Linked DNA regions of Caenorhabditis elegans. The protein of the gene in region 3 interacts with the protein of the main gene of each other region in a pairwise test. Each region holds a gene or a part of one and is shown on either strand. Other genes may lie near its edges.

Region 1 (10,166 bases), 3.5 Mb from region 3:
ACAAAAAAATCACAATGATGTCATCACGTGAGAGTGTCGTAAGCTACCTCTGTGGTCTGAGTGCTCGAATCTTTTTTCAACGCGGCTACTGGCAAAAGTAGATTGGCTGCTTGAATGACTGGGCTCGTTTGAATGTTCGCGAGTGGTGGAAGAGGTTTCAGATCTTTCAAGTTAAGCACCTGAAGTGGAGCTGGAATTGCGATGGAAGCTTCCTTGGGCATTTGCGGTGTGAAGCTACTGACAGAAAGATTTGAAGAAAGGGAAGCAGTTGTTGGAGCCGTTGCAGCTTGTTGAGGCGATGGACCTTGGACATGCTGCTGATGCTTGGAAAGTGCAGCAATAGTGGAAAGTACATCCAGGCCTGGGTTCAACATAGCATTTGCCGCCCAGATCATTGCGAGGTGATCTTCCATTCCCATCCATGGATTGTTCATACCATTCAACGTTGCAGGCTGAAGTAAATTGCTTTGCTCTTGTTGTTGATGTTGGATAGGAGTTGGGATAGGTTGAGGAATTTGAATAGTCGGTGTATGGCTGAATGGTGGCTCAACTTTGACCATATTATTGATGAATGGCAAAAAGCATGAAATATCAGTCTCCAGTTTAGGCATTTTGTACTCATTCTCGTCATCGTCCTGAATTTACAAATTACAGTTTAATAAACTAGTTTTTCTCTAACCGAAAACTTACATCAACTTCAAACTTCATCATTCGTTTACTTCTTGGCTTCTTTGGTTTTCCATCCTTATTTCTGGCAACAACTAGGCTTTTCTTTATACTCTCCTTGTTATCAAACATCACTCCATCACTCAAGTACATGCTAGCTTGATTCACAAGATCTCCAGCATCGTGGTCCGGATTTTCCAAGGCAGCAGAGTATAGTTGAGACTGAAATAATATAATTTTGTATTTTTAAACTGCATCTACAAAGGTCGAATCAGGATTTGAAATTCGATGCACTTTACATTGCGTCAGAATTGACCCTTCCGATGACCCAATTCGGAAGAATTCGCAAAAAGTTTGTACCGTCAATTTGAATGGCAGCGACGCAATAGATTTGGGAAAATTGGCGCATCTAGGTTAACGAGTCGGGTGGTATGGCCCAGCCTGTCCCCGCGCGCGCTGCCGCGTGCCTGCCATCCATGGCTTGACCTTGGCAATGCGCGGATCTGTTTGCGAATTATTCGCGGTTCATCAACATGGGAGGGAGGAGGGGGGCAAAATTGCGGCACGCGCATGAGTGGCCGATGTTTCGAACCGTGCCACGCTCAGATTGTTTTATTTGACCTGACCAACATCGCAACTGACCTAGGCACTCGGCGGCGCCACCCAGCGCCGAAAGTAGCGCATCTCGTTGCACTTTTAACTTGTATACACAAACTATTTTTGACACACTCGAAAAGGGCCGACGATCTTTTTTTTCCATCTACTGGTGCCATGAAGTGAATTTTTAAGGGTTACGAAATAAAAAAAAGTTATCTTTTTTGCACGTACACACAATTCCCTTAGACACTCTCAAAAGCTAGAGGTTCCACATGACGTTATGAAATTCGAACTTGAAGGCGCCAAGCCTAGGAACCAATTGGAACAAAAAGAGTCAGCTGGCAAATTCAACCTTATGATATCGGTGCTCTGATCTGGCACTGCGCCAATTGCAAAGGGCACTAGCTCTTAACCTAGACAGTTGTGACTGTGTAATCTCGCCACGTACCTTGATAAATTCGATCTCAGCGACATGGTGTCTTGGAGGGTGATTGTGTGATCCTTTCGTGCATGCGTTTTTATTATCCATGGTTGTTTCAGCTCGGCATTTGCACCACTGCCCATCATGCATTTTCTTAGCGCAAACGCATCTCCAAGACTTGAAGTTACGTTCTGGAGCAATCTGAAAAAAAACAACTCGTGATGAAAGTCACCACTTGAATGATGGTCTATGATACCTGATAAATATTATATCGGTAGCCTTGATACATAAGTTTTTGATATCCTTTGAAAGATGTGACAATTTGTGGAATGTCTGGATTGTATCGGACAAATGAGATCTGAAAAAAAACTATTATTATCGGCCCAAAATCGCCAGTTAAGGCGGTGTTTCCCGGTGTCAGGTTGTTTTGAAATTCGTGTGGGAAGGAAGCCCTAAATTTTCCGTCTGAACAAACACCGGTCAACTATGCAAACGTTCTCTTTCAAAACTATGTTTGCCCTTCGGACAGTCCAAACAGTTATCTCAAAGTACTTACCTTTTTCTTTTCCTTGTCCGGTGATAGTGGCATACTGCTCACGCTAATCGGAGAAATGGCGGAAGTATCAGTGGAAGAAGACGAAATGTCTGATGATCCAGGCTTTTCAAGACCCAGCATTGTCTGAAAAGGAAAATTGATGTGTTAAATCAAATGAGCAAAAAAAAATAGCGATGGGAGCAATAGAATAATAATAACCAAATGACCTCTGATGAATTAGAAATTGAACTCAAACTAGACAGATGATGAAAAAGAGATATGACCAACGAAGAGAGATGTGACAAAAAAAACGAGCGGACCTGCTGTTGGATAGCGAGCGAGGTTCAGACACCTAGAATCAGACGATTTTTTCTCATCTATCTCTCCGCCCCAGGCACTATCAGTTGCTTGGGGCGGACAAATCAGCTGATGGGGCAGTCGAGAGAGGCGCGTGCCATTTGAACTGATAACCTATCGTGGCAGGCACCAACCGGCTGCCAACTAAGACACCGAATACTGTTATTTGGATGAGGTGCGCGAGAACGAGAGTGGCGAAGAGATAGAGGATGAGTGACCGGCAGGAGGCACAACTGACTGTACGGAAATTGGCGAGAAACATGCGTTGAAACGAGATTGACACATTCACTTTTTTTTTTGATTTTGGTAAATTTTGTTGAGGTGGTTGGTCGAAATTTCAAAAACAGACTAAAGAAGGGTTAAAAAGAATACAGAAGTATATGATTATCATTATTTAATTCGGAATTTCTAAAGAAGATAGAACAAAAAGTTGATAGCGGGGCAAAGCAAAATTCTCGGAAAAGAAATACAGTAACCAGTTTCGATGGCACACATTCCGCAACATGCGGCGACTTTTATCGAGTAATGGTGTTTTGACTTCGTTGACCCACAATTCCTTCCATCTATCTTCCGCCAGCCTGATCATAATACTTTTTTGACCGCTTTTCCATCCATGGAATACTGCGAGGAAGTGGCGCGAGAAAGTAAAGGCATGAGGTATAACGAGTACCGTTCCAAGTTTCACTTTTTGTTTTTGTGGCGGGCGAGGGGGTCATCGTCGAAGAGAAAGTTCGAGTAAAAGTGACCAAAAATGAAGCAAGTTTTGCAAATAGGCACCAGAAAGGGGGTCTCCAAAAAGTTATTATATCCGGGCCAATGGAAAGTGTGGGATGCCAGGACGATTACCGAAAAAAGGGCCGCGCCGTCGCCGCCCGCATGACCTAGCGCGGAAGACACGGATTGACACCGGATTGATGGATTCGGGAGAGAAAAAAAAAACCACAAAATTAGGTAATTGAGGGCGAAGATTTTGATAAGAAAGGCGGAAGCCAACGGCTTGACCCAATCGCGTGGCACTAGTCCGCATAACCTTGATGGAAACTATTACTGTTGCAACATCGGCAAAGTGCAAGGTCCTATTGGACATCGGCGCAAGACGGCGTCAGCACTTCTCGCGTACGATTCGCCATTTATGGCGGTCAGAATTCAAGTGTCTAGTAATCAGTGGCCGACAGAACAAACATTTTTCTTATCAGTATGTATATGCTTGGTTCAGCGAAAAATTGCATAATACCGATCCTGGAACGGTCGAGCACCACTGGACAACAAAAATATTTGTTTGGCATGCTTACATGCTGATAATACCTATTTCAAGATGATGGGAATTGTATAGAAGCCGAAGGTGAAAACATATCAAACGTTAAAATTAGGAAGGTAATCGTAACAAGACTAGTAGTAAGGTAGAAATACAGTAAGCGTGAATCTAGAGAATCGCAGTCTGAAGTTTCACACCTTCCGCTATCCATATTCTACTGGTAGTCTAAAATTCCGATGGCGGCGTCGGGTGGAAGTGAGAGGGGGGGGGGGGGGGCGGTTCAGTAAGGAACGGGGTCAGGCTGCCTGCCACGAAGAACCGCGAGGGAGAAGGCCTTTGCCTCCTCCATCTCCTCCTACTTCTACATCCACAACATCTTCTTCATTTCAATCGGCCGCCTCCCCCCTAAATGAACAGCCAACCCCGCCAAAACATCCGCGATCCGATGGTGTGAGGCACGCGCGCGCATACGCCGTGCCCTGAACCATTAGTAGTGGATGATGATGGTGATGAGGAACGAAAATGAAAGAAGCGTCTAACGAATGCAAAAAAGATCACAAGGGGCAAAGAGGTGAAAGGCGTGTGTACATAAAAACAACTCTCGAAATCCGCCTTGTCCGACATCCAAGTATGGTAACTGCGTCGGCAGCAGCAATTTGGCGCCAGTCGCCGATCCACTCTCACTTGGACGTTTTGCCCCCAATATGGAAGGTTTTTTCATCTAATTATTTGACCGGATGTCAATTTCTATGTCTATCACGAAACGTTTAAAGGCAGATTCGTCAATTTGAAAAGATCTGGAAAAAAAACATTGCTGGAGCAAAATTACAAGTCTGGAGTCGGCTTTTCGTTTCCAATTAGTCAAAAAACACACACATACACATACGCCACCATCTGGGGTTGTCAGGAAAGGTGATGGATGGACATCTCTATGGCAATCGGGAGAGGGCCTAGAACAAAGGGGTGCCAGTCTCGGATCGGTCAGATGAAATCGTTTCTCTCCTACAAATTTTTCGAAATTTTGCAATCGTCAATGATTAGTTCGATATCCAGAAAATTGGTATAGATGATATCACATATTTACTACGGGATCCATGAATGCCCTTCATTTTCACGTCGCGCCCCCCCCCCCCCCCCCCCCATTCTCGAAGAAGTCTTAGAAGCTGCAAAAGCTCGTAGTCAATCTTGTCCAGGATGAGTGAAAGGCGATTTTACTTTCTATAGCTGAACCTTGATTTGGAGAAAGTGAAGAAGGGGCAGCTAGGAGAAAAGAAGAAGAGTGGGCATTTACGCCAAGAAAAAAACTGAACACGCAAGACTGGTCACTTCATGAAACAACATCTAGCGCTTCTAAAAACTGAAGTGGTCTAGAAAATTAGGAGAAAAATTGTGAAATGGAACAATGAACGCGCCAAGGCAAAACGAGTAAAGTGCGTTACTGGTGCTCCACCCTTCCTGCCTCAGAGATTGACCCCCTGTTCGAAAATTCAAACATGAAATAGTGTAAAAGAGAAATGATACACAATTGATAGCTCTAGTACAGGGAACAAGGTTAGAAAGGTCATTAGTCAACTATGGAGTGCTTCCAGTTGCCACCACTGACAGTAGAAGTGTGGAAAGTATGTGTGCGAGAGCCCGGCGTGAGCCAAAATGGAAATGGGCGGTCCGAACGGTTTCGACAGTGGAGGAAGTGGGAGCCATCCGAGTTGTGACAACCACGGTGGCGGGTGCCCGGCCGGAAGGAAGCACACATCAAGAGTACAGTACGAAAGGCCTTTCCGCAAAGGGGGGGGGGGGCAAACGGCAAACAATGACCCTTCGGGGCGTGTATATATTGTGCTTCGCATCAGTTTGGCCACGTCTCGCGCAGTACAGAGAGTGGCACGTAACGCCACTGACCAGCCAAGTGCAAACTTGTAGACAGGCATCGCAGCGCCGAGGCACTCCTCCAACCTAGTACTATATTTGCAAATGTTGGTTCTCTCTGCCTTCATCTACTTAATCTTTCTCTCGAAACTGTTCCCTCGAAACCGCGCACTTTATATTACTGGGTGGTTTTAGATGTTGCCCTTTTCTTCCGCGTAAAGTCATAAAGAGGAAGACGTCAGAAACTATGAGCCACAGAACGAAAAATACTGCTAGTTTTATATCAAAACTTTTCGGAGAAGGCAAGCAAGCGTCGACGGTCAGAAAAAAAATATAACGACGAGGGCGAGCTGCAAGTATCACTAAAAGTGAAAACGATTGGCAAGCGGACAATAAACATGCGGTTACGCAACAAAACTTTCGCGCATTGGTCATGCCCCGGCGCCTAGCACTGTCCGGGCTCGTGTGCAAAGGTCGCTGACTCATCTGGCGCGGCCCATTGAAGTCGAGCAGGGGCAAAATGGTACTGTCAACTGATATGTTGGTTTTTTAATCAAAGAGCTGATTGGCAATGGTACAAGCCAGCACTACTTTCCGCCCGTAAAGGAGAAACATAGAGAGCTTTTTGGTTGCAAAATGTAGAATGTTAAAATTATACAAAAGATAAAAACGCATATGAATACTGATAATTAACTGAAACTGTGAACCATTGATAAGTAAATGTGTACCTATCAATTACAATTTACTCCAACATTTCCCCGATTAGAAAACTAAAATGTGAGAACACAACAAAAAAAACTACATTAATTTTAAAAACCGCTCGTCTCCAAAATTTCTTGACATCTCCCAGAAAATAAAAATGGAATGATAGATACCAAGTCAATTTAATTCATATTCCCCCCCGTAGCCATATTTGGCAGGCAGAAACAAACGACGACACGTCACTGAAACGAACGGGGTGAATAGGAGAACAAACCGAGAAACAGAGAAGCACACGAGAGGGGGGGGGGGGGGGGTTTATGGATCTCAAGAAAATGCATGATGTTAAAGTTTTGATCATCACATCGTATTCTGACAAATAGATAGAGGGTAACTCAGCACAAACCCCTTGGCTCACGCAAAGGACAAGAAAACAGTTGTGCAAACTCAAACCACCGACTGAAAACGCCTGTCGCTGAACAAATCTAACTGGTCACTCACCTGGTCAAGCCGCCAGCAATTTTTTTGAACTGTTGTTGTCATCATCAGCCCCAGTTTGGAATATCCAGAATGCTTCCTTTTCTCGGTGTTTACTCGTTTCGTTGCCCTGGAATAAAGTACACATTTATATTGATCATAACAGGGCACAAACTGAGCAGGGTGCCTTTCACGAAGAGCTTGAAATGACCTTTTAACACACACACATACACACATCATGGTACGAAATACATCTGGGAAAAGGGTGATGGTTGTAAGAATAAACTAATAAAATAATGAGCAATTGGAGTTGCACTATGTGTGTCAAACTGGAATTGGAAATTGGAAAAATCTCAGTTTTTGTTCGAGGCATAAACTCTAAAAATTTCCACTTTTTGACTGTCAGTAAAAAAAACATTTCAAACGATTTTTTTTGACTTTTTAAAAGTTTTAATACAAAATTTGATTATTTTGGTATCATATATGTAGCACTGCTCCACTTTTGAAAAATCGTTTTCTAATTGGTTACAGTGCTTTTCAGAAAATTATACAATGGTTTGCAACCTGTGGTGTGGTGTGTGTGTGTGTGGGTGTGTGAAAAAGGAATTAAATACAAGAAAGAGATGAGTTGGATGCAATAGATGGGTATATGGTGACGACGTCTTCGCCGGACGCAGATTGTTGTTGTTTGTGGCAGTTCCGCGCGGATCAAACAAATAGTATGTCAGCGTGTAGATGCGCAGGCAGATACAAAACGCGGCGTGCGGGCACTAAAGTTCGTGACCTGTGATGGGTCGCGGCAAATTCGGAATAGACCGGGGGGAATGAGGGAGAGGCGGAAAACCAAAAACGGCGAGACACAAACTAAGGCTCAAATAAATGACGAGTCGAGCGAAATACGTGATTAAACTTTTCCAATACAGTCTCAGCGTATTTTTTTTTCGGGCCAGCGCCACCCTCCACGCTCGTGAGACACTTCTATACTACTTTATGAATCCGGCAAACTTTTGGATGCGTGAGTGTGCCGCTCATCATACGCCCACATTTGTGAGATTGGAAAATAAAAGTGCAAAAAACCTGAAGTAATATGCCTTTTTCTTGGTTGCTTACATCAACTGGAAATCACATTTTAAAATTGATGAGTTCAGTGGGGTCCCTTGTGTAAATATCAATTACTAAAATATTGGCACTTTCAGTGATGTCTTCAAAAAGCAATGATTTGATTAACTTCTCGACCTAATGCGATATCTGAAAAAGTTCACAAGCAATTCTTATCTTGATTTAACTGATGGTCTATCCGTCTTTGTTGTCGCTTGTCAGTACCACTTGCCGTGCCGATTCGGTGCCGTCCAGTGTTTCGCATCCAATTGGCCAACGAAAGGTCATTCATCCGACTGAACTAAATTATGGCATGGCAGAATGACAGTGTTCAGGGGTAGAGTTTTTTGAAATTTGCAACTATCTGCATAGATCACATCAATTTATTTTCAAAGTGTGACTGTTCGGCCTGTGCATTATTTAAAAAATTTTCACATGTTCATCCAAAAATCTCCAGTGCAGTCCCAAAACCGATGGAAATCTAGAGAAAAAAACCCGGAGCAAGTGATTTGTATAATCGAGATATAATCTCAGTTGTCTGATTTTAAAAACTTTTCAAATTACAAAACTGTTTCTACTACACAAGGTTGTTTCATTGTGTCTGTGAAATTTTGCTCCGGCCTCCACACGCACTCAAACACGGAATCCGTCTGGATGAGAACTTTCAAGTAGCAGTAAACACGGGGTGGATACGGTTTCGATTTCGCCTTCGCATCCAAATGGTCACTCGCCCAACAACAAACGAAAGTAGTGACGAGCCAATAAACAGGCAAACATAAATTGAATAACTATACGGTTTTGCATCTGGTAGGCAAATATGGAGCGACGACCTTTTTCCATCACCTCTTTCCGATTTGTGGTCTGACTTGCGCCGAGAGTGTTATCGAGACGCCGTTGGTGTGGACCTTCGTGACAGCGCCGCCGGTCATCACTGTGTGGCTCGGCGGCCATCTATGCTCGGGAGGGGGCCCCTGTTTGTCTTCTCAATTATTCTCGCTTACTTATTTTGCTGTGGCTCTCCGCAACGCGCACACCACTATACGTACGTGGTGTTTGTAGAGCCGCACCAGGTTGAATTGTGCCAAAACCGTGCGTCGAACGAAACGTAGAGAAGACAGGGCTTGCACAAAGTTGAGCGCCGTCCTCGTCTTACGGTCTTTTCCCACTCAATTTTACTTCCTTGTTGGGAGGCTCTCACTGAGCCGCTCCGCTTTGCTTCAATGCAAAGAAAAAGACGATCAAATGACAGTAACGTGAAACAATTTCCTTATTTTGTAGTTGACGGAAATGAAAGTGTTGTATGGGGGGTCAACCAGTTGAGAAAAAGAAGACCTTTAAATTAACTCTCCGCCACCGCAAATGTCCTTCAAAGGGGTTTTTCGCGAATTCTGTACTTCTTCATACCTGCCACCCGACGTTAAGTGCTGACATACTTTTTTCCCAATCTTCTCGATCTTCCGCAAAACTGTGTGGTTCTTACGTAATCTACAAACTGATTACCCTTGACGGCACACTTTCTCTAATCACTTTTTACAAAACAATTGGGTCAACTTTGTGACATGACATTAGAACCGCCAAAACAATTGGAGAATTTAAAATCCCCAATATGGCAGGGGTTACAAGACGACGAGATCGTTAAAGTCCTGTTCCCAAAAACAAGAGCCTTTTGGCAATTGAGACGACTCTAGAAGCACTTGAAAATATTGCCAAATGTGAACTGAATAAACATATCAACATGTGTCGCGACAAGCACTTCCCACACTTTCACCTATCTTTTTCGAGAAGAGCAAAGATGTGCAGCCCACTTTGCGCTAATATCCGAAAACGGAGACGCAATGAGTACGCATAGGTGGCAAGTGATTCTAGTCTGGTGATAAAGGAGTCTTAGAATATCAAGCTGCAGTTTAGTATAATTTGATAGAAAAAAAAAGAAAAACGTAAAAAGAGATGTAACATCATATTTTTGAAGTTGAAATTGAAATCGAAATTTTAAGACAGTTTGTTTTTCAAAAACATTATGCACAAGTAGTACTGTAGTATTGAATTTTTAGATCCCTTATGAGCATTTTATTGATAGTATGAAATCTGGTAGACCGGAAGTTTGGTTTTGTAAGCTCCACGTTATGCCTTTTCGGATTTCAACAAATACTTTGCTTCATTCAAAGTAATGAAATAAAAAACCGTGTTAGTCCGTT
Region 2 (7,034 bases), on a different chromosome or scaffold from region 3:
AATTTGTGACTTTCTTTTTTTATTTTAAAATTTCCATTCATTTCAATATTCAAAATTCTCACCATAAAATCCTTTACAGTACTGTGCTGTGCTTTCCTTCTCGCCATCATCTACTTCCATATCCTGTCGCCGATCTGAAAGTTAACTTTTAATACTTCAGAGATTGGAATTAGTCTTTTGGTATTCGTGTCATTTGAAAATGAAACTGTCACTCTTAAAATGAACCCTTACATGGTGAAGAGTTGGTATGTTGTGTCACATTCATATCAAACGAGTTATTCATCATCGATTCACAAAATAAATAGAGAAGAATGAGAATCGGAAAACGAAGAAGAAGAAAACGAAACGAAACGATGAGAGAATGAGATGGAGGTGGAGAACCATTTTTGGTGATAAGCGAGTATGACTCACTACTCAACAACCCGACATTTCAGGATGAACTGAAAGCACACTGAATTGCTTACAATTTCAAGACAAACGGGAAGAATTATATTGCTAATTCGTTATTTACCATATCACTGTAACTGTTAAATGTCGTGAACAGTCTCTGATGCTGTGCTTCTAGTAGGCATTCCACTCGGTCGAGGCGTGACCGAGGCGCCTTTCGTCCCTCGAACCCCTTACAGTCAACTTTGTGTTCCATTTACCTTAACTGTGGTTCTGGTGGTTATTTTAAAATTTCTAGTTATGTGAAAAAACTTGAAATCGATTCTATTTTTGGTAGGATAGAGAATTATAAATTTCCATTTCTTGGTGATTCTTGAAACAACTGATTGATTATTTTCTGATCAATTCCATATTAAAATACGGTTATGTTCTTTAGGTATATTTACAAAAACTATGATTTCTTTGATAATTATTTAAAATTCAGCCACTGCAAAATCATAGATCAAATCAAAAGACCCGGAAAATAATTGTTTTCCAAAATATCAGCACATTTAGGAAGTACAATTCCAACAAGAATATATCCTAAATTGGCGGGAATCGAGAAAAGCATAACAAAAAAATAGATTCAATATATATGAAGAAAAATGTTTCAGATAACTTCATAACACAAACATCAATTGATCATGAAACGCGTGTTAGATTTGATTAACAAAACATGTTAACGATGTTCTTGGAACTACGCTGATTAGCAGAAAAAGTTGGTGGGAAATGTTGTTTAAAGTTTTTGAATACGCGACACGAAAAAGGAAAGTGAAAAACTTTCATAATGCTCCATCCAAGCACGTTCTTTAATTTGTGTTTATGATGGTGGGAAAATAGAAAAAGTGAAAAAAAGAGAAGAAGAAAAAGATTCTCAGATGTTCTCTAACAGAAAATGTAGATGAAACTAGAGAACCAGAAAAGCTCAGAGATAAACATCAAAAAGAAAATATTAGAGCAGATCAGTCTTCCACGAGCAGAACGTCATGAATATGTTCTTTAAAGATTAGTGTCAGGTTTGATGGGAATTGGCTGAAACTAGGGCTTCATGCGCCTCATCGGAACTTGGCTTGCCTTCACGGCAACCCTTGCCTGCCTTGTGCCTAGAAATATTAATAACTCATGAGTTAACACAATTCGAGCGCCAAACATCGTTGAATCAAAAATATGAAGCCAGGAGGGGCGGGTAGGTTTGAGGCAGGCAGTGGATCCTGAGGATGCACCTCTCTAGATAGATCTACTATGGGTAACCTAGCTAAAACTGAGTTCAAAATGACTAACTACCTACAGGTTCCATTCTAAAATTGAAACAACTTCTGCAGAAAATGAGAACAAATACTAACAGAGATTCGCCTGAATATTTCATCAAACATATGACTGTTTCGCAAGAGTTGCCATAGCCTCTTTCATCTCATTACCCATGCATGTTATGGAACAGAAATCAGAGCCTAAAAACTGAAAGATGGGAAGGAAAAAAGGGGCAAAGTGTGTGTCAAAACATTTACGAAAGCCCGATGACTCATTCCAAGAAATGAATGGGAACGGATAGAACGAATGAACAAAATATGTCTGGATAAAATGGAAATTAAGAAACCAAAGTTCGAGAATAAACGCATCGAAAATTAGTTCAGCTCACGTAGCTAAAAAAAATTTCAAGACAAACTTTTAAACATCTTCTTTGCAAAAATCTTGATAACGAGAAATTCGACGTAAAATAGAGAAGCGAAGGGCCGGGATAAGCCATTTGTAAGATCATTTTAGATTTTTTATAGCATTCGATCGTTCAAAATCAATTTTAAAATAGCATTGTTTGAACTTTTGCTTGAATTTTCTGTACTTATAGTGTGTTTTGTATTTTCGTATTGTACTTTTGTCAATATGACTTCGAAGAACGTTTTCAAAATACCTAACTATAAATTTCGACAAAACCTTAAAAAACCCAAATAGTGTACTAAAATGATCTGATGAGCTAATAATGAAACTTCCGAAAGGAACAGCTGTTAGTCTTATCATTTGGCACAATCAGGTCGAACCAATGAAATATTGCTCTCAAACCAAGAGAGGGCGGAGAGACATATTGTGGTGATTTATTAGGTAGTTCTTGTGAAAAAATGTCGGGTTTGAAATATGTTAAATTTCTAGATGAAGGTTTTAGAGAAATGAGGTTTGTCGGATTTGTATACCATAATATATTTAAGCTTTTTTTGAAGGATTTGAATAATACAAATCTTCAAAGTAAAGCTAGGGGACAAGCTAGAGTAGGAGGTAGAGATTTTCCAAAAAAACATAGTTTTACCGTTAATTGCAATTTTAAATATTAATCAAGAATTTAGGTTTAATGAAAGTTCAAAAAATTTACCAAGTTTACAGAATATGGTCTAGGAATATATATATATATATAGTTTCAAGTTCCTAGATCCTAACCCTAATGCCTCTACACTTCCGCTAAACTAGGCATATGCGTTTATCAACAAAAAACAGTTCGAAGAAAAGAGACCATATAAGACGAAGAGACGCAGACAGTTGCCAGATGGAACGGGCGGGAAAAGCTGTGCGCCGCTTCGATCACTACAGTAGCTGCGTCGTTGGAATCGAAAATCACGTGTCAACTCGATTTTTTTTTCTCGATCACTGCGTCTCTCTCCGAATTAGAGTCTCGCTCGTAGTTTTTGTGATGATTAAAATGTAATGATGAACATTCATAAAAGTGGGCGGAGCCAGGATTATACCGTTTACTCTATTTTTAAGTGTTTTATGTCCAGTTGAAAGGAAATTGTTGCATAGAAAAACTTTCAATTTGGTAAGAAACAATATGATTTAATTTTACAAATCATTTAAGAAAAATACAAAACAATTTTAACAACCACCTGTTTTTTTTGGCACGCGTCATAAACTTTTTATGGGTTCAAAGAATTCATATTAAACATAGATCTACAAATTGATATAATGTTTTGACAAACAACTTCATCAATTAACGATAAAATCACGAGATCACAAATGTTTGGTAGTTGTAATTTGGCATTTTGATAGTAGTGAAACTATAGTTTTGTAACCATGATTGTCCATTTCCTATTGTGACAGGTTTATCATCAAGTATTCCAAAACTTTTGAACTAGACAAACAAACTAACCCTTTTTGGAATTTTTCCTTCTTCGAGTTGGAGCTTTTGGAGCTTTTAGAACAACTTCTGGAGATTCTGATGATGTTGATGAGGATGGTGGTTCCTCTTGATCCTCTTCCATTTTTGTTTTATTTTGATTTCAAAACCTTTTGACAAATAAGAATTGAATAGAGAGGAAGAGAAGTTGATGACGAATCGGTTGACGACGATGGCGATGGGGGTTAGTCGGCGGGGGCCCCGAGAATGAGTCACACGCACACTCACTCTTGTCTCTTTTCCTCTGCTGACTCGTTCTTTTCCTTTTTCTCTCTTTTTCTATCTCTATCTCTTTCTCTCTATTTTCCAGATCCATGACATCCATAGACGCAGATAGACAAACGAACATTGAAAGAAAACATTGAAAATTGAGAGAATCCAGAAGTTTCTCATTCTCTCTATTTTTCATTCTCTCTTTCCACCACCCAATTGACATTTAGAAAGGTAAATGGAGAGAGAAAGAGAGGAAATGGATAAAGTTCGCAGAAAAATGTTACCGTAAATAATGTGTCAGTGTGCTTGCTTCACGTTCTCCGTCTCTTTTCCCTCATTTCTCTCCGCTCCTTTGACTTCTGTATTTGCCTTTCCATCAGCCACTTATCTTTTTGGAAGTTCATTGGCTTTTTCAGAGCTCATCTTGTTTTTCATTCTTTTTAGGCCTGACCTCATTAGTCTTTTACCCATAGATCTTGTTTATGCACCCAATAATAACTAAAATATAATACGTTTTTTGCAGGGGTTTGAAGCTTTCTGATCCGGTTTTTCAAATTAATAAAAACCGAGAGTAATAAAAACTCATGTTTCAGTAAATCCAATTTTGGAAGTCGACCAGAAAACATTTTTTGGAAAATTTGGCAATTTACTAAAACTGTTAATGAACATTTTACTCTGGAGTGTTCGATTATGACATTCGAGAATTTTGTCTGCACATACTTCAACTAGACCAGAAATACTCTAGATCATTTTTACAAAATCTAAACATATTTTGATTTTCTTTTTGAAATTGTTTGAGGTTTTGTTTTTGGCACAATGCAAAAAAAAGGTTTTTTTTCAAAGTAATTTATACTATTTTTGCATGTTCGGTCCTAGATCTTTCATATTTGTAATACGTGATAACATATTATTAGTAATAGCCAGATTTTGACTACAGTTACAAACATTTTTTAATTTTTTGAACTGTTTTACCATGTTATTCAGCATACCAAACAACTCGTCTAGATATCAAAACAAGTTTTATTCAAGGTAACATACCGTGTACCATACCATTTGGAAAGTACGGTAGATATCAGTTCATTGCATTTGGGAATTTGTATCGCATTTGCAAAGTTAATTTTGATTGGTAGATTTTTTTCGGCACTTGCACTTAATTTTTTCATAGAAACACCGTAATTTGCATAAGAATAGTCATTCGGCCTAACACGATCGATGCTAATTATCTTTTATTATTACTAACTTCATGTTTTATTTGGCTTATTTGTGCTGATATCTAGAGGCTTTTGAATTGTACATTCGTGAACCAGGAATTGGCCAAGTTTTGCCAATTTCGGAACCAAGTTGGGTACGAAGTTTCGAACATAAATCTGAAAGTGTTTCATTGGTCTCCAATAGTCATGATTTGTGATTCACTTTCCAATTTACAATATCAACAGTAGTATCTACTCATAATTGATAACTTCGTATTTTCTCTAATCATACTTATGTCTCTCACGATTCCATACAATTTCGCGTTCGTTATGGTTGTCTGCTCATCTTTTTGTACACGGTCATCAAAATGAAATCGGAACGAAAAAGCAGTCACAAATTCGGAAATCATTGCAAAAAAATGGTGGGAGTAAGAATTGAGAGATTAGTGGAAATGGCATCACATCAGAATCAATTTGAATTCTCTCTTTTTTTGTGTTTCCTCTGCCCACCCATTCACATTTCAGGTGATTTCGAGAACAAATTACGTCGAAAGGGAAACGCCTGGCTGAAAATAAAAAATTCAGAAAAAAAGGAAGAAAATAGAAAGTGCACGCACCGGCATACGTAATAAGGAGCCCCTCATCTAAATAATATTTACGCTTCCAAGATTCTGTTTTTAGTTTAGTTTTTTTTAGAAGGAAGGAAACTTTTTTTCGTGTAATAGCAGGGACTTTCAAAAAGTAATAATTTATATCTAATGTCAATAGTATCAAGCAAAAGCTTTTAAAGCGAATAAAACTGGGACATAGAGATGGAACGTTGGGAAAGGAGATGGGAAGAACCGGTCAATTAATATATAAGTAATTATGCGAATTACCATCTATAAATATTAAGAGAAACAATAAAAATCTATAGATATGAATCTAGTAGGCAAGCTCTTCAGGTACATCATTTTGTGCAGCTTCTTCAGTTATTTCTAACGGCACACGACTTCTATTCGCTGGTAGATGGCCTGATTTCACAAAGTCTAGGCATTCTTGAGTGTACGTCACGGGATGAGATCGGAGATGTTGGCAGTGCAAAGAATCGAGAAGACGAAGTTTTGAGATTGAAACACCACGTTGCTCCATTAACTGGGCGTATTCTTCGATGGATTCTTCGGAGCAAACCTGGAAAAATTTGTTAAGCTAAAAATGTGTTAAATCTAGATTCTAGAATCTAGAATAAAACAATTAAAACACTGTAAAAACTAGCAAAAAATTTAGGAAGTGTAAACAAAAAGAAGCTTTTTAGCTTTTTTCAATTTTGGATTTCAGAATACCTATTTTTTTCTTTTATTTTGAAAATTCAACTCACTAAGTCTGCAGGTCCATAAATATAGAGCTGCTTCGCCGGTAGATTGTCAAATGTTATCATTTTGAAATACGCATAGTGTCTCTCGTAGATATCCTTCTCCAAGAATGATCTCAACCACAAAACTCCTCTATGAAATGAGAAGAATGTATAAAGAACTGCTCGATATGATCCTCTCAATGCTCCGTGGTAATGACTCGGTGGAAGTGTGGCAAACGAGATAGCCTGTGCACTTTGAGATGGACTAGTGAATGCTGGACAACTATCGAAGATAAGTCCTCTGGATTTTGAAAGAACTTCTTTTCCATTCTCGAGATCTTGTAATTGATCCCAGTATGCTGCGAGCAAAGAGCATCCATTCATAGAGAATACGTGGAAGTAGATTGTTGTGATGTCATTTTGGTCGTGGAGAATCTCATTCAGAATTCGATGAAAGCACAATGCAAACGGGCGATATGACGAAAAACTTCGGATTTTAGCGATTGGAGCAGTAAATCTTACTGTAGAAATTCTGTAAAATTAATTTGATGTTAGTTAAGGGTATTTTTTTTTCTTACCCTGCATCCTGATAATACTGTGCGTATTTCGACAAGTATCGGTCCCTACAACCGGCCCATCCGAACAGTACAACGAGAGTTTTCGAACCAGCAACAACATTTTTTATAGCAGCTTCATTACCCGATTTTTTCGATTC
Region 3 (6,986 bases):
TATGCTTTCTAATCACTTTTGTGCAGTGTTATGCACATGCGCCACTTATTATTCTGATGGAAAAGCGTTAGGAAACGGAAATTTGTCATTTCAAAGACTCGAAGAAAATCGGAATATAAGAATTGTACATACATGTATTACATGTTACATTGCATGCACATCAATTTCCCAATTCTATACTTTTATTAAAGAGAGGGAGAGTTTTTCGACTGGGACCACCTGTGATTATAAATTCGCATAATCGTTCTCGTAGCTCATCGCGATACGAGTCATTAGTCTTAAGGCAGGTCAACATGCGATTCATTTCACACAGATGTTGCTATAACAAATTCAAACAATTATGAAATACGGGGCCAGGAAAGATGGCACAATTTAGGAGCTTCACAAGACAAGAAGAAATTTTGCTGGTGGTTATGATGGACTCCCCCTGAGCATTCATCAGCCTACCGTATACCTGTCTACCGGATGTCTCAATATGCTTTTATTCATGAGGCTTGCACACGCAAACAAGTGCTTTGAAATGTAAGTAAGCAATGGACAGCAGGTGTCGAATAGCGTTTTGTGGATTCAAGAAAAGATAGAAATGATAGAGGTGATAATGAATTAGTTATCACGATTACTTTTAAGTTACTCATTGAAGTTTCCAGAAAGCGGTTTTCAATACCAAAACATTTATATAGTATTCTAATATTTAGGGAGCCTATTTTGTAGTACTAGTTTGCATGGATGGTAAAACTATTTTCGGTCAGTAGTGCTTTAAACTTTTCTAGTTGTATTCCAGTTTTAATAATGGTCAAAGACCCTTTTACAATTAGTAATGGCCAAGAAAGGGTGAAACGGCCGACCAAAAAAAGCAATCTATGACTAATCGATTCACAACAATACCATTCTCTACACACCTAATTTGTCTCTTTTCTTCTCGAAAAGCTGAGAAAATGGTTTTGTGGGAAAATGTGCACTCGGTCCTTGTTAAGATGTATACATCAATGGTGATGGGTTTCTTTTGATACAACATTTCTTACGAGAACATTAGAACCTTTGATCTTTTTGCATTAAACAATAATTCAAATACTTCAATTTCACCTTCCCGCGGGACCGTTAGTATCAAATTCCACAATTCATCGATGTTGCCCTTGGATAACTTGTTGTTGTGGGGATGGAGGAAACAGGGGCTAAGAATCGAAATCTATGAGCAAGGCCTGGTTAAGCCGATTATAGTCTAGAGCAGGATGGATCAAGGCCTATTTGTCAAATGGGAAAGGGCATAATGTTCGTTCAATATTGAATATTACAAGAGCTCCGTTTTGGTTTGACAACAAAAGATAGGTGTTATTAAGTGTGATATATAAAAGAAGAACAAGTGTGACAAGTGACTCCTTCCGCTGATTTGAGGTCAGTTTTTGAAAGAAAAAATTTTCGCAACAATTTCTGTTCAAGATTCGTATGAGAGTGGGACGAAAAGATGAAAAACGGGGGAACTTTTGTCGTCTTCCAGGAAGATGCAACAATTGACAAACATCTTGGCAGGCATTGTTCCATCAAGAGCTCGGGGTTCCCTGTGTCTTATCTTCCTATCAAAGATTTCAAACACGAAAAACGGATAGGAAAAAGTGATACTACGAGTACAAACGTTAGTTCGACGGATATTTTCAACACGTTCAAAATGGTGATATTTGTGGAATCGTTTCTCAAGGTGTCACACACTCTACTTACCATCAATTAACGAGACAATAGATAATCAAATAATGTCGGGGCAGGTGACAGGTTAGCAATAGTTGAACACCTAATAGAACATACGTCTCATGGCTTTGTTCCGTGTATCCGGGGCGCCGGTGACAACTGGCTCTTGTGGCGGCTGAACCTCGAAACAACGGTGCTCTTTTTCTCTCGATGTCACACTTTTTGAGAAACTGAGAAACTTTTCGTGCAATACAATGGAGCTCTCATTGCACTTTTAGTTTGGGACAAAAAATGTTGATAGGCTTGACGAGCGATGAGACACTGGGACAGTGGGACAGCGCAGATGTTTGATGAGCAGGAATGATGTTCGATTGTAGTGTTTTGCGAAGAATTGTTGTGTGATAAGTTTATGAAAAAAAAGTTAAGTCTCATGCACAACAAATAAGAAAGATTTCAAAAAAAGGTAAATCAAATATATTAGGTCTCCAAATAAGTTCTGGGTCAAAAATCATAACTTTGTTCGCTGTGTATCGATTTTCATGAAACTCTGGGAATTTATGTTATCAACTATAATCTTTCATTTAACAATAGTCACGAAATTTTTTGACCGCCCCAAGTGTCCTAACTCGGAGCCAATTTTTTCAGGCATTTTTCTGATCTCGCTTATTTTCAGCTTTGAATTGAGGGTTGTGTGCGGATTTTTCTTTGTTTAGAATACATTATTAGAAAACAACAAAAGTTTTGAAAAAATCCGTCCAAAAAAATTTTTTTTGGTTGGTCGTCAAAAAATCTTCAAAAAAATTTTTTGTCGAAAATTCTAGATTTTTCCTACAAAAATGATGTAACCATGAACCTCAATTGAAATTTGAAAAGAAGCGAGATCAGAAAAATGCCTGAAAAAATTGGTTCCGAGTTAGGGCACTTGGGGTGGTCAAAAAATTTTGTGACTATTGTCAAATGAAAGATCATAGTTGATAACATGAATTCCCAAAGTTTCATAAAAATCGATACGCAGCGAACAAAGTTATGACTTTTGACCCGGAACTTATTTGGAGACCTAATATACCACCAAATATTTCTCTACAGTGTGCCCAACGTCTATAGCACCACCCCACTAATTTGAGAGTTTGGTGTTTTTGAAAATATTTTTTGAAAAGGTGTTAGTACAGTTCAATAGAAAATGTTGAAAACCTATGGTCCTTGATTTTCACAACTTATATCTCAAAGTTTAGTTCGAAATTTTAACAATAAACGAGAAAATTATGAGGAGCCGAGAACTGGCCCCTGTCAAAAAATCCGATGAGTGCTATAGAAGTTGGATGAATGTTTTTTTTACAAAATTTTTACTTAATTTTCAGGTATCATCATAAAACTGGGGGAGCATATCCTTTGCAGCATTTGCTATCAAACTGTGCTGACGTTTTTTTCTGAAAATAATTTGGAAGCACCAAACTCCCAGATTAGAAAAGGGATGATATAGACGTTAGTTGTAATGTATTAGTCTTGTACTCTCATTGCTTTACTTTGACAGCTTCTATCTCGGTTGGCAAATTATGTGCAAAATGTTTTTGTACATTTCAACAGTAAATAATTTTTTGGTAAAACTTAAGAAGACTGATATACGAGGTAAATCCATTGGGGTGCAAGTTTAATACGGAAAATGCGGTTTTTAACTACAATCAAGTATGTCAATGATCACTCGCATGTTTCTCCCTTGAAGCTCAAGCTGAATAGAGTATGGTTTCAATAGATTCTCAATAGAGTATTCAAAAGAAATAATTGACATATACACCCTACCAAAACTGCAAACACAAGAGCAAGGATAATTCATCATCGAGATCTCCAATTATCCCTTACAGTCTGTCAAGAATACATGAATATTTGATAAGGTAAAGTATGGAAGAAGAAGGATAACACAAAGGATAGATAGAAAAGAAGAAAAAACAATTATTTATGGAATTGGCAGTGCCCATAGGAGGCACATGATGATAAACTCGGAGTTAGCTAGGATATTAAAGGGATCATGAGCAGTGACGGGTGCGGCGATTTGGCCTACTATTATTATGATCAACAACGGCACACGACAAGGAGAAAATAAGACTAGACAAAGTAATAATTCTTTGAAATCTGTCACCAAATCTGGAAGTGTTGCTCTTGCTCCAAATGCGCAAATATAGGCAAAAGTGTGAGAAAAGTAAAGTTGGTGAGGAAGAGAATACTTACCAGATGCTTGCTGGTGCAAATACTTGTTCTACTTGTTTTGTTATTTCAATGAAAAAGCAAAACAGTGCTCACAACATTAAAAGGGGAAAGAGCATGGCACAGTAGAAACTAGAACGGAAACTAGTTCTTACTCACCACTATAGAGCCATTCGGGAGATTGTTGTTACTGATCCAGCAGTATTATGGAGTATTGATTTTATTTGGAGTGTCTGGAATTTTAAATTTGCGTTTGTAAATTCAAGCCTGAAGAAAACATTGAAAAAGAAGAATCAAAAGCGTTAGAAATTGAAACTAGAGAAACTTAAAAAGGCCGATTATTTGAGTTCAGTGGCATTATTAATTCAAACGATTCACACGCGCTGAATGAATTGTGAATTATGAAGGAGAACAAAGATATTGCACAGATATATATCAGAAATTCCTTTTCTTCAATTGAGGATAGTCTCACGATTTGTCCTTTGAGGGTAAGAAGAAAAAGAAAAGAGAAAAGGTTCAAGTGAATAAAAGATGGGGGCAAAATGGAAAAATGAGAAAAAAAATGTTTGGTTGAAAGTAGAAAGCAACACTTAGAGAAACATAAGTTCAGTAGTCAAACAGAAAATATAACTAGTTGTCCCACAAGGAAGCCTATGGTATTAATTTTTTGTTTTGGACTGTTCACGAAATTTCATTGGTCACTAGTTTCAGACATGGTGACCCAATTGAACTGGCAATTTCAGACAACAAACTTTGAACCAAGAGAAGAAGAGAGAGGGAGAAAACAGGAAAAAGCTGGTATTGGTTGTCTAGGTGATTGGAAGAGGGAACTGGTATCAGACAAGTGGTTCAAGGTAGTTGTGTTCCATCACACAATGAAGAGAATGAAAGAGAGTGACCACCCCACCTGAAAACAAAACTGACCACGCAATTTGTTTGTCCTCTGAATCGTCTCACAATAAGTTACACACTGTGCCCTCTTCTCTGCAAAGTGGGTGGTGGTGGTGTGTTGTCGGAGAGACACGGTGGGGACCCGCGCTTCTTCAGAACTGGATGTGTTGACCAATGGCGCAAAAGTTTTCCAAAGAACGCGAAATGGTAATAGGTCGAGAACCACTTGCAACAATTCCATAATGTTTCTTTTAGTTGACACAATGCACCTACTCAACCTCGTTTCGAAGATTCGGAAATGCATTTATGATAGACTAAGAGGGCATCGCAATACGAGGACGGGAATCAATCATAATGTATTTTAGGTGGACATTTTAGCTTTTGACAGTAAAGAATATTGAAACACACTGAAATTGTATTTCAATATAGCCTAGAAATTTTAAGTAGGCCAAAAAGTTCTAACTATAGTGAGAGGTTATGACATCTAGGAACTTGGAATATTAAAAAAAATCTTAGTTACTACATACAACAAAATCCTAGAGTATACGAACTCTTATATAAGTCTATATAAAATAAGGTCAAAAGGCTATCACAAATGAAACCGTAAAGATACGGTTTTCTAGTTCAAGAATATACAGAGTCGCCCATAATTATGGCGACCACTTTGCAGTAACTCAACGTTTCTGTTTTTGGAACGAGATATTAAAACAAGTGAACTTACACAGTTATTAACCACCCTGAATAACTAGGTAAATTAAATAGGTTTGCATATTTAGAATTGTTAAAAACACAAGAACTGAAAAAACACATCGAAATGTTAAAATTTTAGATCTATGCTTGAACTTGAATTTGAGATTGAGACATTTAGTATTCCGATTTTCTAAGCAAACTCAAATACTGTTGCACAACGCGTGATGTGACTAATGTTTATGTTCTTACAAGTTGATATGAAAAATTACTATTGGAGGTTTTTCTTATGTCTCATAGCTGGCAAAATTATCGCTCCCTGATAAATTCAAGATTTATGACATTCATAACTCAAAAAGAACATACTTTTAAGGTTTTTACTCCAAAAATCAGAACTTACCAATTTTTTTACAGGTTGTGCTAGTTTGGCTATGAGTCTAGAGGATATAAGAGCCTATAATGCTAATGAAATACCACAAATGTAAAATGAAAAACTTTTAACAACAGCTCTAGGGTTATGGTGAACTGTCTTGGAGCATGAAAATGCTCGATGTTAGCAGAAGAGATTGTTATATTCATTAGTAAGGAACACACTATAAATCAAATTTAGTTGGAAGGTACCTATTACAAAGTTCATTACTACATCAACAGCTAGTATGTTTCAAGTACCATTGGCCAAATCGGTGGCAGTGACCCAAATCGCTGAAACTCCATCAATCGGAGTACAAAAGATATATATTCAGCGCCACACCCATAGGTAGACCTTGTATGTATGCAGATCCGAAAAAATCCATGCTTGTTCATTTGCCTCCCACCGGTTAATCTATTTCTTTCCCTGAGAAAGGCCGGCTTTGCCTTCTTTTGCCTGCTTTTCCTTCTCAATTTTGCCGCCCATTGTACCCGTGTTACGCAAAAGCGGATGACCATTGCGGCAAATGCATACAAACACAGGAGGTAGTGTCAAAATAATTTGCGATTTGCCTTTTTGCCTCCCCCCACCATCTCCTCATTTCTCCCTCATTCATCGTCTTTATTATTGACACTCGGAACCTGTTTGATTTGATTTGCCACTGGTCACTACCGTACGGATGGCATATAACTGTATTTGGAGATGACGATTAGCGCGACTGGAATGAATAGACAAAAAACACACGCGGAGAAAAGCCAAATGAAGAGGTGAACTGGGTACCGACGACGGCGGCGTCGATTGGTGATGGTACCCGTGCGGCACTCTAGAAAAAAATAGCCGAAAAGAGATTTAGAGAACTTGCTTCTTCCTCCTTTCCTGAATGGCATGCTGATGGCGCAACCGATCGAAAGAAGCGTCTTAAAAACTAATAGAGACAATAGATTTATAGAGACTTCAAGATACCACTATATTTTATCTGATCCTTTTTTTAAGTTGTCGTACAGGATAACACTTATCTGGACATTAAAGGGCTAAAACTTAGGGATGCAGGTGGCTCGAAAGAAAAAAAAAGTTACCGTACATAAGAAACAAATAAGTGTTGGAACTGATTTGAAGATAA
Region 4 (7,303 bases), on a different chromosome or scaffold from region 3:
AAAAATCAAAAAAAAAAATGCCACACTGGGGAATCGAATCTGGCTTTTTGGAAACCGGCCTATTTTATATCAAAATGCTGCTCTACTTTGAAAACTCATATCTCTGTTTCAAAAAATGTTGTTTCAAAAAAAAAAGTATCAAAAAAGTTGTAACTGTAAAGTTGTAGAAAAAGGAATAACACATATTTTGTCAGTGAACAACTTTTCAATACAATCAAAGGCAACAGAGATATGAGCAGTCAAAGATCGCAGTTTTTCTAGTCGATGCACCATGTCATGCAGACCTACTTTCACAGCTTTTATCTTGGTTCGGTAAAAAGTTATCAAGAAATTTTCAACAGCAAAGTTGGAGTAAAGAAGATGAGAAGTATTTTGTCAGTGGAAAAAGGTTTGATAAGATTAAAGGCAACTGAGATATGATGCAAAATAAAAGAGAAAAAAGTTGGCAGTAAAAAAGTGGAAGACATGGTGCATCGACCATAGCCTTGATATCTCATATCTCGGCTATGTTTCGTGTTATCAAAAAGTTATCAATTAACAAAATATTTATCAAGTATAGTGTCTTAAGTTCCGTAGTTGAACACTTCTTGATATTTTTAATGTGAACCAAGATATCGGTTGTCAAAAAAACGGGAGACATGGTGAATCGTCGGTATGCTTGACAACTTATATCTCGGCTACCTTTGGTTTTATAAAAAAGTTGTCAACTAACAAAATGTGTATTATATTCTTGGCTATGATTTGATACTTAGAAATTTAAAGATATCTACAATCTGGGCTAAGATATGAGAAGTCAAAGTTGGAAGGAAGACATGGTGCATCGACATGAATGAACAAGACGTATAGAGGAGTCACGGACTATAGCATTACAGTAAGATTATTGAACACCTATGCATTTCAAACTTCAGGGAAGCAACTAGGTAGTTCCAGAGCACAATGACCTAGGCGTCCGCCCCAGTGGTCAGCTGCAGCAGCGGTGCCAGTCTCTGTGATGATGCTCTCTGTTTTTGTTGACAACTCTGTGTCAGCTGATCTAGAAACTGAACTCCTCGAAGGGTGTTGTGTGTTGTGTGTTTCTCTTTTTCCCGGGCGGCGGCCGACGCGGTAGGCAGTGCCATGATGTTCCGACGTTCGAGGTGGCAGCAGCACAACAACACACAGCGGAGAAGAAGCATGCGAACAAAAAAAACGTCTGGTTTCTCTGATGCCCTAGCCCTCACCCACCCCACCCCGACTACTGGTACCAGGCGCCTCCTCGCCGCTCTTCAAGACCACCCCGTCGACGACGCTGCGCCAAAACAAACACGGCGACTGGCACGCTTCTTCTCAACTGCGTCTTCTTCTTATCCGCGCGGAACACACACAACACACACACACGGCATATAATAATTGTTTTGGCTCCGGCGTTCGGTGGGCTCCGCGCGGAGCAAAAGGAGCAAAAGAACGCACGTAGGAATTCGTCATTTATGTTTTGGTGACTAGGGACTAGTAGTCTTGAAAGAGTAGGATATTAGTATGAGGAGAGGTGAAAGAATCCAAGGGTCCAAAAAGATTTTTAGCATTTAAGGAGTCTAAACTTTTCCGAACACCTCGTGAAATTTTGCACCTGGCAGCAATTTTTGCACCTGGAGGGGTTCAGTTACTACATGAAAACTTTGAGGTTTTAGAGGGGTATTGTAGGATTACTGTAGTATTAATGTAGGGCTACTGTAGAAATACAAAAAAATTACGGTAGGGCTACTGTAGTATTACTGTAGGGCTACTGTAGAATTACAGAAAAATTACGATAGGGGTACGATCACTGTAACAGTTGATGCACCATGTTTTGCCGATTAACTTTGACAGCTTATATCTCGATTACTTTTACTGATATCAAAAAATGTTTAAAAATAGAACTATAGAGAAAGATATAAGAAATGTTTTGTCTGTTGCCAATTTTTGAACCAAAAACAACCAAGATTTGAACCAATGAAGTTGTGCTTGGCATTTTACTTTGAATGATCATATCTTGGTTTTTTAAAGAGATATCAAAAATTGTTAAACTACATTATTATAGAAAAGGTTATAATAAACATTTTGTCACTAGACAATGTTTTGATAACACCAAACACAACTGAAATACAAGACGTCAAAAAGCTGACGAAGGATTTTCAGTCGATGCACCATGTTTTTTTAAATTTCACAAAGTTTCCTATTTCCCATTCAAAATCACTAACCTTTTATTTTCAAATACTCAAATACGTAACCTTTTACCTTATCACATACCCTGGTCACCCCAACTCGTGGTATCAGGTTACCCCCTCGTAACCCATTCCGCGTGACCGCATGCCTGCCGGCGCGGCGGCAAGCGGCCTGGCACGGAGCTATGGGTGCCTGCCGGTGACATGATGATGCCCGTCCAACCATAGATAATAATAGGTAGACACCACATACAAACATATGTGTGTGTGTGCGTTCTTTTTTTGTTGGAAAAATGAGAGAGAAACTTTGACCACATACAAACATTTATGGCTATATCTAGTTGGATTTCAAAAACCATGTGTTTGACCTACATGTAGTACGGATTAACGGGATTGGTGGAAAATGTGGATAGGACCTTTGAAAACTGGGTTGATAGTGATTTCAGATCATGGTGCATGGACTAGATTTTAGGCAGGCGCGGGGCCTGAAGCCTGCCTGAAACCTGCCTGCTTTTTCCCCTTTTATGCATTTTAGGTGTATTTACACTGATGATTTTCAAATTAAAAAAAAAAGAAAAAAAAAACACGTATGATTTAGCATAAGTATTGAGGCAGGCGGAGATCGCCTGAAGGCCAGGCAGGTAGGCGTTTTATCGCCTACATAGGAGCCCTACACTTCAAAGTTGAGTCATATGAAATCAATGTAGAAAAAATTATGAAAAACAGCTTAACTAAACGTAACCGAAATATGGCCTCGATGCACCATGTTCAGAACTTTTCTTCGACAGACTCTATCTAAGAAGTGTTAATTTAAAAAAAAAAATTCCGATAAAACCAAAACCAGCCAAAATATGTAAGGAATTATGAAGAATGAAACAATTATTAAAAAGTTCCGAGAGGAGGAGTCCCAAGATAAAACAATAGCCTCACTCTCTCTCTCCCATATAACAACAAATGAAAACAACCTCCCAAAAAAAAACCAAACACAGAAGTAGACAATTGAAAGAGTGACGGGATGGTGAGAAACCAGTTCAAATGACCAGGTCATTGTTTCAGAGAAAACTGGTCACTTTTGTCGAGTTTTTTTTTGGGCAAACTATGTTAGGCAAGCCAATATCTCGGCTTTTTATGCTATTTGTAATTTTTTCCACGGGTTAATGTAGAAAAAGAGGTGAGCAATATTTTGTCAGTTGATAATTATTTTATAAACCCAGAGACAATTTAGATATAGAGCTGGTAAAGTTAAGTTTGCAAAACTTATCGATGCACCATGTTTTTATTTTGGTTTATTTTAGCGATATTAGTTACATATCAACTACAAATGTATAGAATAATGAATAAAACATTTATTACCAATAGACAACTTACTGGATAAACAGGGCGCGATTGGTGGGATAGCGGAGCGTCGTTTGAAAGTTTGAAAAATTGCAAGTTCTCTTTTTTTTTTGTGCAAAAAAGCTGGTAATAATGCACAAAAAAGTCATGTAAAATTTCAAATTCCCACCAAAAATTATTGGATAAACAGAGCGCGCTAGGGGATAGCGGAGTGTCGTTAGAAACTAGTAAATTTCAAAACTTGAAGGCTTCTAGTGGTGAAATCGATTTTGTTTTGGTGGTCGGTGGTGCAAAGCTGATAAATTTTAAATTCATAATTTAATCTGTGATTAGAGGGAGTTGGCCCGAAATTTGGAACTTTTTCTTTAAAAAAAAACTTCAAGTTAAATTGGCTAAACATCAAGCACTAGAGGGATAACGGAGTGTCGTTTGAAATTCAATGTTGCACTTGAAAACTGATAAAAAAGGGCCCAAACCCAACCCTAGATGGGTCCAAGCCTAGACAGGTCCCAGAAATTTCTAGAGAGCTCCAGATAGGCCAAACTCACTCACGTTTTTTCGTCTTTTTCTCGAAGAGTCCTCGCGCGCGGCGGAGTGCGGAAGCGGCATGATGCGACGCGACGAGCACTGCGGAAAAATGCCTGCGTCTCTTCGTCTCGCACGCTCTATCGGCTCGTTCCGCGCGCCCCTCCTGGTGTCGACTGGCACGTCGGGGCGCCCCCCCGCTGGCCACTTAGAGACGCAGAGTGTGGGAAAAAGAATGACCAGTGGTTGAAAAAATGACATTCAAAAAAGAAGAAGAAGAAGAAGGAAGGAGCAACAAACCACCAAACAACACAAAATTGATAAGGGTATGGGAAATCGCACAATTTTTGAGAATTCTCTCAAATAGGTCTAGGAGGTCTAAAAACTGAAATTCTGAATTGAGAAATCTATATTTAGGTCAAAAAGGTCTAAGTGTTAGGATCCTGAGCTATATTTCAGCCTAACGGAGTCTAAAATGCCAAAAATCATAGACTGGGTCTTTTTTGCAACCTAATTTTGGCATGTTTATACTTTTTATAGGTAGGGAGCCAAATTACGGACTAAAAGGTGATCGGTCTAGGGACTGGAATTTTGGTCTGAACGTTTGATTTGGGCTGTAAAGGCATTGATATTGGCCAGTCTTGGCCAGGCCATAACTTTTCCCGAAAGGGTTACAAACAGGGTTCTAGAGACTCTAGTTTTGGCCCAAAAAGGAGTTATGAAGCAAAAAGGGCCACAATACCCCAAAAATAACCTAAATGGTCCAAGTGTTGAGTTACGTTTCCTACCTGTTTAGTCTGGCAAAAAAAGCCTAGAAACCCTAATTCTGATCTAGGACCAAAATTTTATCATAAAGAGTATCAAAAAAGGCATAGGGACTTGAATTTCGGTCTGAAAGTTTGATTTGGTCTATGAAAGCCCTAATCTTGCAGGTCATACTTAGGCTGGAAGGCTTACAAACAGGGCTCTAAGTACTTTATTTTTAGCCACGCTAATCCTGATCTAGGACCCTTATTTTATCTCAAAGAGTTTCAAAAAGAGGCCCTTGAATATTGGCCGATCTGGTCTCAATGGGAACTTAAGAACCATGGGTCTTTCGTCTGGCAGAATAGGCTTAATTTGGGCCTAGGACCCGGATTTTATCTCATAGGGTTTCAATAAGTAAGCCCAAGCCTAAGCTTCAGCCTAAGCTCAAGCCTGAGCTCAAACCTCAGCCTAAGCTTAGACCCCAAGTTTGGCCAAAGGATCCTTGAAGAAGGACCAATATTTATTCGAATTTTTACCAAATATAAAGTACCATACTAAAAAACTTTTTTCATATCTTTCTGTATTTGTATGTTCTCTACTTTTTTCTTCTGTCTTCTTTACAAAACCTCCCCCCCCCCCCCCCATCTATCCATGATTCACATGCTGCCACACCTCCCCCACACTATTTCACTCTTTTTTCCTGCTGCTGCTGCTGCTGCAAGCATCGAGAAATACACACACAAATACACGGTGCTGGGTCACCACCTGGAGCCACCCATGGCTCTTTTCATATGTTTTTGCCTGGAAAATGACGACGACGCGGCAGCGGCAGCGGCAGAGACGCGGAGAACAAGCAGGGAGCGGAAGGAGTACGGGACCAGCGGGGCTAAGGGGGGCCTGGGAACCGGGGAGCCAAAAGTGGTCTGGGATCGTGCAAGGAACCAGGGAACCGAGTAAGCAAGGGAAACGGGGGTGCAAAAGCATTGCTTCATTCAGTTCCAAACTTGAGAAATTCAAAAAAAAAACAAAGCCCACGGGCATAGGAATTCTAAGGTGATAAGCACCGAGGCATCAAAAACGCTAGTTCGATTTTCATACACTTGAGCATTAGAAAAATCTTGTGTAGGCCTTCTAAGTCCAAAAGCCCAAAAACCGGTCGAAAAGGTCAGGTTTTTTTCAGAATTATTGAATTTTCTGGGGATTTCTTTTTGCTCTCTTTTTGTCCCCTGCTCAGCCTAAGCCTAAGCCTAAGCCTAAGCCTAATCCTTAGACTAAGCCTAAGCCTGAGCCTAAGCCTAGACCTGAGGCCAACCTTTGGCTCTCTGCAATTCTGACACCTCAAGGTACTTTTCCAGTCGACCAACTAGTACTACTACGACTAATACTAGAAACTTCTGTTGTTGTTGTCGTTCCGCGTCGCACCGCGCTGGCACCGACCGGCACACTGGCTCCGCCTGCCTAGCAGAGACTAGGCTGGCAGAAAAATGAGGAAAAAAACTAGGAGCGGGGGGGGGGGGGGGGGGTAGGGGTTGCTTGGGACCTTGGAGTTGAAAATTCTTGAAGTCAAGGGGTCTTGAGCTTCACGGGCCTACTGGACCTCCTTGGGCTTAGGGCCTACTGGTCTTTGGACTAGAAAACTCAAGGACTTTGAGTAAGAAACAACTGAGCTAGAAGATGAACAACAGGTGTAAGCCAGGGTAATACAGAACCTACATATAGTACAGGGAGTCTACATTTTGGTCTACATACATTCGGGCTAAAAGTTTTTATTTAGTCCAAACGGATCAAGCTTAGACTTTAGCTTCAGATTTGAAAGGTCGAACTGTAGGTATGAGCGATGCAACTTCCTGTTTAGGCGTATCAAGCTGTTTTATTTATCTAGCGAAGAACGGGAGAGCCTGAAGGCATCTAGATTACCAATTACACCCTATCAGAAACAAAACCGACAAAATTTCGAAATTTGGGTAATAAGCTCGGTTTTGATGTCGTAAGCTTTGATCGGGTGGCTGAATGAAAGGCTTTTGAGATTCTTCAAGGGATCTAGGTGGTTATGGAAGGATCTAAAGACACTAGACTTTAAGGCTTAGAGCTTTAAATGGCTTGGCTAGGTCCTATGCACCCTTAACCTATCAGAAACAAAACCGACATATAACATCAAAAAATTATCGCCACATAAAAAAAAATTGCATGCAAACAAAAAAATGTTTTCCTCTTTTTTTTTCTATCTCTTCCCTTTTTCTCGTTTCATCATTCCCCCATACTCTCCCTGAAAGTGGTACCGACAGATACGGAGCCCCCCGTCCTCCCCTGACCAGTCGCCTGGTCAGCTTAACCAGCATGAGACGCAGAGAGTCGCAGCGCCCCGGCGAGAGGAGCGGCGTCACTGAAGAGACTGGTGAGAGAACGGGACGGAATTTTTTTTTTTTCGTTTTTATGTTTTTGCATTTTCCTGCTGTGTTGCTCTCGGTGTTGCGCCCCCCGTGCTTGTCCGTGCCTTCTGGGAAATTGGAGAGCTG

The links.
Region 1: the proteins of egl-13 (region 3) and peb-1 interact in a two-hybrid assay, tested with the Caenorhabditis elegans proteins (one large-scale study listed by BioGRID).
Region 2: the proteins of egl-13 (region 3) and jun-1 interact in a two-hybrid assay, tested with the Caenorhabditis elegans proteins (one large-scale study listed by BioGRID).
Region 4: the proteins of egl-13 (region 3) and znf-782 interact in a two-hybrid assay, tested with the Caenorhabditis elegans proteins (one large-scale study listed by BioGRID).

What each region holds. Positions count from the first base shown.
Region 1 is NC_003284.9:2,207,827-2,217,992, reverse strand, and holds the start of peb-1 (FLYWCH-type zinc finger-containing protein peb-1), read right to left. Parts: upstream 6,943-10,166; coding exon 6,898-6,942; intron 5,752-6,897; exon of another isoform or gene 5,461-5,751; intron 4,536-5,460; exon of another isoform or gene 4,413-4,535; intron 4,358-4,412; exon of another isoform or gene 3,976-4,357; intron 3,759-3,975; exon of another isoform or gene 3,411-3,758; intron 3,188-3,410; exon of another isoform or gene 3,002-3,187; intron 2,764-3,001; exon of another isoform or gene 2,547-2,763; intron 2,364-2,546; coding exon 2,241-2,363; intron 2,174-2,240; exon of another isoform or gene 2,052-2,173; intron 2,043-2,051; coding exon 1,941-2,042; intron 1,886-1,940; coding exon 1,712-1,885; intron 1,355-1,711; exon of another isoform or gene 1,092-1,354; intron 889-1,091; coding exon 691-888; intron 636-690; coding exon 48-635; intron 1-47. UniProt on the Caenorhabditis elegans protein: Putative transcription factor. Binds to specific sequence motif 5'-[TC][AGT]TGCC[GA][AT]-3' in regulatory elements of target genes such as myosin myo-2. May modulate gene expression, perhaps acting in opposition to transcription factor pha-4.
Region 2 is NC_003280.10:9,109,925-9,116,958, reverse strand, and holds the start of jun-1 (Transcription factor jun-1), read right to left. Parts: upstream 3,803-7,034; 5' UTR 3,669-3,802; coding exon 3,557-3,668; intron 343-3,556; exon of another isoform or gene 284-342; coding exon of another isoform or gene 232-283; intron 135-231; coding exon 63-134; intron 1-62. Other genes in the region: T24H10.4 (Transmembrane protein 53), read right to left, coding at 5,911-6,156, 6,344-6,851, 6,898-7,034. UniProt on the Caenorhabditis elegans protein: Transcription factor that recognizes and binds to the AP-1 non-canonical enhancer heptamer motif 5'-TTAGTCA-3'. Required for ovulation. Controls plc-1 expression in the spermatheca to regulate spermathecal valve dilation.
Region 3 is NC_003284.9:5,660,963-5,667,948, reverse strand, and holds the start of egl-13 (Transcription factor egl-13), read right to left. Parts: upstream 4,113-6,986; 5' UTR 4,039-4,112; intron 3,585-4,038; exon of another isoform or gene 3,445-3,584; intron 1,462-3,444; exon of another isoform or gene 1,269-1,461; intron 101-1,268; exon of another isoform or gene 1-100.
Region 4 is NC_003282.8:1,063,415-1,070,717, forward strand, and holds the start of znf-782 (C2H2-type domain-containing protein), read right to left. Parts: upstream 4,112-7,303; 5' UTR 4,068-4,111; intron 1-4,067.